Linked DNA regions of Cricetulus griseus. The protein of the gene in region 2 binds, or shares a complex with, the protein of the main gene of each other region. Links are inferred from orthologs where the notes say so. Each region holds a gene or a part of one and is shown on either strand. Other genes may lie near its edges.

Region 1 (3,649 bases), on a different chromosome or scaffold from region 2:
CTGTGGACATGTTGGGTGCTTTGCAAAAGTTTGTTGATTGTCTTGCTCTAGTTTCTTCTAGAACTTAGAGGTGATTCTTATTCCTCACTGACATAAAAGTATATTGAAAATCAATACAGTGTAATGAAACTTGGTGCTTAGAAGACAAGACCTGGACATATAATAAATGTGGGATTTGTAAAATAAGATTTCTCAGGTGCCTCTATATCGGGCCCTGTGAGAAAGGTGGTAGCTGGACTTTTATAGGAGAGGGAATTACTTATGTTTTCATCCACTCAGTGATGCCTTTTTTTTCTTTTAAAGAAAATATTTATGTTTTGACTGCATGCATGTCTGTGCACCATGTATGTGCCTGTTGCATGAGAAGGCATTGGATCTCCTGTATTGGAGTTAAAGATGGTTGGTGGAAATTGAACCTTATTTCTCTGTGAGAGCTGCTGGAGTTCTTAACTGCTGAGCCATATCTCTAGCCTAAGTGATGTCTTTTTGATTCCAGATACTAGTGAGCTTTGCTCACCAGTGCTGCCTCCCACATCTGAGACAGAGGATCTAACTATGTAGCCCAGACTGGCCTGGCATTCGGAAGTCCTCCTTTTCAGCCCCTTGATCCTAGCAGGAAAGACAGGCACTGTCATGCCCAGCTTCACTGGTGTTTTCTTCTTGAGTGCATTCCTCCCCCTCCTTCTCCTCTTCCTCCTCCTCCCCTCTCTCTGTTTGACCCATGGTCACTTTTATTTATGAATTTTAGATAAATTAGGTAGTTTTGTCCTCAGAACAAATATTTGTGAGGAGATCCTCACTTCTGCATCTGTCTTTTGTAGAAGCTACATAACCAGTAAATTCCAGGCCACTTCTCTTTATAGCCTGGTCTCTTTTCTCCATGCCCTAGGCTTGAAATTTAAGCTTAAAACGATAGAATATGACCTTAAGAAGATTGAAATCTCTACCACCTTGTTCTGAAATCAAGCAATCAAATATTTATTTATAATCTTAATTCATTTTCTAACAAGAAAGGTTTTACTTACTATGAAAGTTAAATTGAGCACCGTATCTACAAGCAGAGTGGAAGTACAAGCCATTTCCACCAAATGTACATCTCTAGAAGTTGAATGCCAGTAGCAAACTTCTCATTTTAGTCAGAGAATGTTTCACGTCAGGAAAATGGAACAAGATAGATACAAATCTAAGAATGCCAAAGGCTAGGACCCAACACAAATTTTGGACACTAAACTCCAATTAGTGTTACGTAGGAAATGGTTCCTTCAAGAGTTTGATGAGATGGGGGAAGCATTTTAAGGGCTCTGCACACTATCTTCAAATTCCGGGTTAAAGGGTTCTGTTAGTTATGGTTTCTTTTGCTGTGAAGAGACATCATGACCATGACAACTCTTATAAAGGAGAACATTCTCAGGAGAATCCCTAACTTCTAGCCTTAGAAAGGACATGCCTGTGTGGTTTGAAGAAAATGATCTTCTAGGAGGTGTGTCACTGTGGGGTGGACTTTGAGGTCTCCCATGCTCCAGCTACACCCAGTGTGGCACACAGTTGCTTCTGCTGCCTGTAGATGAAGATTTCGAACTCCCAGCTCCTTCTCCAGGATCATGTCTGCCTACATGATGCGGTATCCTATCATGACGATAATGGACCAAATCTCTGAAACTGTAAGCAAGTCCCAGTTAAATGTTCTCCTTTATAAGAGTTGCCATGGTCATGATGGCAGGTCAAGGACCTTGAGGTGGAGATACGGGCTTGGGAAGGAGATAGGCCAGGGTCATGACTGTGAAATCACCTGCTGTGTAGCTGTGCACATCACAGGCCCTGTGTAGCTCTTAAAAGGTAACTGAAGTGTGCTTAAAAGATAACTGAACTGTGTGGAGCCTTGTTTTCCTGACCTTTCTCAAGGGGCTACTGTTTGCACCTGTGTACTCATCACAGTAATTTTTAAGCCAGGAGAAAAGTGTTTTGTTTTTTTCCTCTCCTAATAATATGGACTTGCTAACCCAATTCTTTGCTATTGTTCTGTGTACTGTTTTCAGGAATAAGTAAATAAAATGGAAGAAAACCATTTGGAATAGTAACACTTTGAGCTACCTTTTCTAGCCTTTTAACTTCATACAAACCATTTAGTTTGGGATCTCAGGTGATTATAATTATGAATGCTAAGTTTTGTTTTCTTGAAGTTTTTATATTGTAAGCTTAAAACTGAATTAATAGTATACCCGGTTTCTCCCTCTTCAAGCTGTGTCTACTTGATCTTTTTTGTTTGTTCAAATGACACAGTGCATTAAGTATGGAATTAGATTAATGAAGTAAATATTATGAATCATACATTCTCTAATCTGGTACTCATTCTTATTTCTGACCCCATGTTTTGTTTTCTGTCTTTCTTTCTCTCTTCGTATAGGTTGTCAGTCCAGTGTAAAGCTGTTGGAGTGAGGGAGCAAAGGTAAAGGATGATGTAATGCCCTGGCTGCCCCAAAGCATCTTTTGTTGTGGATGGTTATTCCCGTCATCTCCCCATGGATCAGATGTGAGGGGCTGCTTTGTGGAAGGAGTCCTTTGCAAGGCACGTCAGCAGGAAAGAGAAAGAGACATTCAGTTGGAGGGCTCTTGCTGAAATGGGTTTAACTCTCCTTTTGCCAGTCACCACTAGCCTGACCTCATACATTTATAGTACAATGGAGTGGCTGAGCCTTTGAACACACCACCATTACATCATCGGGAAAATTAAAGAACGAGGTGGGAAAAGAGGACTTATTGTTGTCATGGCCCATGAGATGATTGGAACTCAAATTGTTACTGAGAGGTTGGTGGCTCTGCTGGAAAGTGGAACGGAAAAAGTGCTGCTAATTGATAGTCGGCCATTTGTGGAATACAATACATCCCACATTTTGGAAGCCATTAATATTAACTGCTCCAAGCTGATGAAGCGAAGGTTGCAACAGGACAAAGTATTAATTACAGAACTTATCCAGCATTCTGCAAAGCATAAGGTAAATTCTTTATGACTTTTTAAAGTAAGTGGACATAGCAACCGAAGAAATATTTTGATTGAAGATTATTTTTTAAGTACAGAAAGTAATTTGAGGAAATTTTGGTTGTCTTTTGGAATTTGGCAATCTTGCAATACCTAAAAATAGATTAACAATCACATTGTCATATTAAGAATATTTTAAACTAAGTCAGGCAATTGTAGCTTATGCCTACCTATAATCCTAACATGGGAGGGTGAGGGAGAAGATTGCCACAAGTTCAAGGCAAGCCTGGGCTACATAGCAAGATCCTGTCTCAAGAATGTCAGGGGAAGGAAAGTATTATTTTAAGCTATACATAATAGTTAACTTATTGTAATTTGGACACAATACTATGTTTATGTATTAGTGTCTTGATGAGATTGTCTTATCAATTTAAACAACATTTTGTCTTTTCTCCAAATCCACTGAAAGTCGTTCTTTTCAAGTGCTTTGAAAGTAAGAATTAATTATTAGAAGTAAAAGTAATATTTATATGTGGTAATATTGGTTAAGACATTTTCTTCAGGAAATAATTATTCTCGGCCATATGTGTATATGTTGGGAAAGGCTGTTCCCCCCCCCTTTTGTTTTTCTGAGACAAGTCTTATATGTTCTAAAAGTTGCTATATAGCTGA
Region 2 (3,668 bases):
GTAATGTATTTTTTATATATGTGTAATCATTCTATGTGTACGTGTTTCTTGCTCCCTTCTCTTATAAGTTACTTTCTCTGGTTGGTAAAAATGCCTTTGAACAAACACATTGTCTTTAAAGGGATAAATATACTCTACTGAATGAATAATAGTAATTTAAATGCCTTTCCATCCATTGTCGGGTGGTTAGGCTGGCCAGTTAATCAGTCCATAGCTAATATTTGCAGGAGACACGAGGCTTTGGAGGTATATCAGGTAATGCAAAGAATCTGGAGCATTTATTTTTTGGGGGGGTAACTTTTTCCAGGGAGCTGGAGAACATTTTCTTATTGGTGGGTGGTAGGCCTTGGAAGAGTGGCTGTCCAAGTAGGATTCTCCGTGGCTCACGTGTGTGCACTGACATGCGTGCCTGACCTTCAAACACTAACGCCCCTCCACAAGCTGGCAGCCCAGCAGGCTTAGGCTATGACTGGTGTTTCGCCGCCACGCGCCGCCACGTGCCGTCGCAGCCCCGCCCCCTGCTGCTCCCGGCCACGCCCCTCACACGCGGCTTTCCCAGTTGCGGCCCGCGGCGACCTCCGCGAGTGCCGCCTGCTCTCCAATGTAGCCACGCCCCCGGTCACTGGGCCACGCCTTCACAATCCGGGCCCCCGGGGCCGCTCCGCCCCCAGGCCGCTCGCAGGCGCGGGGGCGGGGCCCTGCGCGATGACGTGGGCGGGCGTGCGCGTTGACGACCCGCGTCTCTGTTAGTCAGCGGAGCGGCCGAGGCCGGACGTCGCGGCCGGAACGCGGAGCCGCGAGCAGGGCTGAGTAGCGGCCGCGGCCACCGCGGGACGGCGCCGCTCACCGCTACGGGCTTCCCGGTCGCCATTGGCTGCGCTGCCGGGTGAGTGCGCGGGCTCCGCGGCCCGGGCGGCCGCCGCCTTCCCCCGGCCGTGACCCCCTCCGGGAACGCGCGCGGGGCGGGGGCGGCGCGGGAACAATAGCGCGGGCGGCGGGGCAGCGGGGGGCGTGGTCCACTCGGCGCGACCTGGCTTCTCCACTCTGGCCGGTTTCCACGTTGCGCGGGGAGAATGGAGCCGGTGGGCGGCAAGTTCGGAGGTGCTCTCGCGGAGATCGGGCCGACGCGACCGTACATAGGTCTCCCGCACCCACGGGGAGCGTGTTTTGACTGTGGGCGGTTTCTTTGTGCGGACGTGAGTGCCGCGACGCCGTGAAGGGCCGGGTGGCCGCGAGCGCGCCGGCCTGCGGGCCGCGCCTTCAGAGGGGCTCCTGGCGCTGACCTTTTGACTTTCCCCCACCGCTGTCTCTTTGTCTTGTGCCTGGATTCCCAGTCCAGACACGGTAGATCCAAGTCCATTTTAAAGTACCGTAAGGAACACCTTGCATTTTCATTCCCGAAAGTTCCCTATACCACCGGCAATTTAATAACATGTTGACTGCACGGTGTCCAGTAGTTGCTATTTCTACTTCTGAAATCAAGTGGTCTTTTCAGTAGAATTCTGGTCTGTCAGCCTATTGTGTTTTGAGATGAGCATCCGCCAAGTACCTTTTGGTCAGTTAGAACATCTGTTTATTTCATTCATTCATTCAGCAGCTGTTAGTACTGTATCCAGATGGAGAGGATGTGAAGGCCAAGAGAAAGACCCTTACGAATAGGGTACTTTGGAATAGAATAGATGTGCCTTTAAATAAGACTGTTATATAAGTGATATATGTTAAGTAAGGTATTTGCCTCGTTTTATTAGAACTTCTGAAGGTAATGTGATAGGTAATGTGAAGAAGAGCTAGATTTGCTTAAATATACCACCATTATTCTTAAATCTTACCACCACTCCCCTAATTTCTTGTCGTTGTTAATGGTTACCTCAGGCTGTTAGACCTGGGAGGTCAGGTTCTCTGAGTGAACATGTTTACTGCTGTGTATGATGAAAGCAAGCACTCAAAATGGTACTTCGATGCCTATCTTGCATCATTTCTCCAGCACCTAGCATGGAAGTCATACACGTTGAGTTGATTAAAAAAAAAAGTTTATAGAGGAAAATTGGAAGCTTTAAATCCCACCCCCACCCCCGAAGTTTGAGAAGTGTCAAGCATCACTCTCAGTTGGCTGCATCGTAAATTAGTAGAGGATACTACCTGTTAAGATAAAAGAGGGTTTGGGATCACTGTTTTTGTTTTTATGCTTTACTTCCAGGGCATTCACTATTTTAAGACCACCCCTGAATTTTTTGCATATAATTAATAAAGTAGAAAATTGTGTTGTGTGTGTGTGTGGTGGGGGGTCTGTTAAGTATGTGTGTAAAAGTTGAGCATCCATAACTTGAAAGTCGGAGATACTCCAAAATCTGAAACACTTACAGTCCTTTGCAGATAAGGGGCATTCACTTGGTACTTTGTCATCAAAGTTGGGTACTTTGTTCACTTCCAATATTTTAGATAAGGGCTTTTTCCAGCCAGATGTGTGAATGAACCCAGACCTAACAGTGGTGTTTCATTAGGAATCTAACATGATTTCATTTTTCTCCCCTAAAAAAAAAAAATTACTATCTAGGGTGCATGGTGTGTTTTTTGGGGCAGGGGGTACACATACTTCTGTGTGCATGTGGAAGCCAGAGGACAACTTTGTGGGGTTGATTTTCTTTTACCTTTAAGTGGGTTCTAGACATCAAACCCAGATTCCCAGACTTTTAGGGAATGTATCTTTTCCCACTATTATTTCACAAGTTTTTATGATTTCTTTGAGTAGAAAAGCACAACACCCACATGTGTTTTACAGATATTTTATTTCTAATAGTCTAGAGCTGGTTAATGTTTTAGAGTTGCTTACTGGAAAGGTCAGGTTTTAGCTTGTACTTATCTATCTCACAGAGCATATGGGTTTAAAATGCAAAATACTATGAATTTATCCAAGTTTTGGCACGTTTCCACTATTTAAAAAATATTTCTTTTCGATATGAAAAGTCATTCAGATGAACTTATTTACTGTAGAATAAGAATGGAAAAATAAGGAAATTATTCTATTACTCTGAGTGATAGACCTTGGGGCACCAAACTTTTATTGCTTTACCTAGCTAAGTGTATGAGGTTCCAGAAGGGACTCTGGAATTAAGAAATCATTTGAGTGGCTCACACACAGACAGACTCTGCATAAATTCAGTTAGGTTGTCTTCTAAATTCTGTTGTTTAAACAGCTTTCTTGAGATTTAATTCACATAAAGAGTGGCTCTCATAGAGTATTTTTTAGTGGTGTTTAGTCTACTTGCATAATTATGCATTGATCACTACTATACCATTCTGGAGCATCATTGTACCACAAAGAAAACCCCCTTAAAAAAAAAAAAAAAGCAGTCTGGTGTTTGAAAGGAAGAGAGTATGGGTTCTGTTAATAAATAAGTCCCTTTAATGAAAAGGGTACCCTTTAACTGTCGTGGCATATTAGGAAACTGTATATTTCATGCTCCTTTTAATCCTTAGAGAAATTACTTGGAAAGGAAATTTAGTATAAGAGTTAATTGAGCCATATGTGGTGATACATGCCTGTAATCCCAGGACTTGAGAGGCCAAGACAAGATGAGTTTGAGGCCAGTCTGGGCTACAAAAGCTAAAGAATAAATTGTTACCAAAATGAATACAATTAGAATCTTATTTGTTCTATGAATGATATT

The links. Proteins that work in one complex are often made in the same cells at the same time.
Region 1: the proteins of Mapk8 (region 2) and Dusp16 are in contact, whole or in part, in a crystal structure (PDB 4YR8), measured with the Homo sapiens proteins. The link is inferred for Cricetulus griseus from reciprocal best matches to the Homo sapiens genes MAPK8 and DUSP16. Residues at the interface, in NP_001310257.1 of Homo sapiens: Arg189, Val196, Ile197, Leu198, Gly199, Asp229, Ile231, Trp234, Gln253, Thr255, Val256, Thr258, Tyr259, Val260, Asn262, Arg263; in NP_085143.1 of Homo sapiens: Phe215, Leu267, Asp268, Tyr271, Lys275, Pro279, Ile281, Ser282, Pro283, Asn284, Phe285, Asn286, Leu288, Gly289, Gln290, Leu292, Asp293.

What each region holds. Positions count from the first base shown.
Region 1 is NC_048601.1:14,194,540-14,198,188, forward strand, and holds part of Dusp16 (dual specificity protein phosphatase 16), read left to right. Parts: intron 1-2,404; 5' UTR 2,405-2,765; coding exon 2,766-2,993; intron 2,994-3,649. UniProt on the Homo sapiens protein: Dual specificity protein phosphatase involved in the inactivation of MAP kinases. Dephosphorylates MAPK10 bound to ARRB2.
Region 2 is NW_023276807.1:185,964,854-185,968,521, forward strand, and holds the start of Mapk8 (mitogen-activated protein kinase 8), read left to right. Parts: upstream 1-735; 5' UTR 736-886; intron 887-3,668. UniProt on the Homo sapiens protein: Serine/threonine-protein kinase involved in various processes such as cell proliferation, differentiation, migration, transformation and programmed cell death.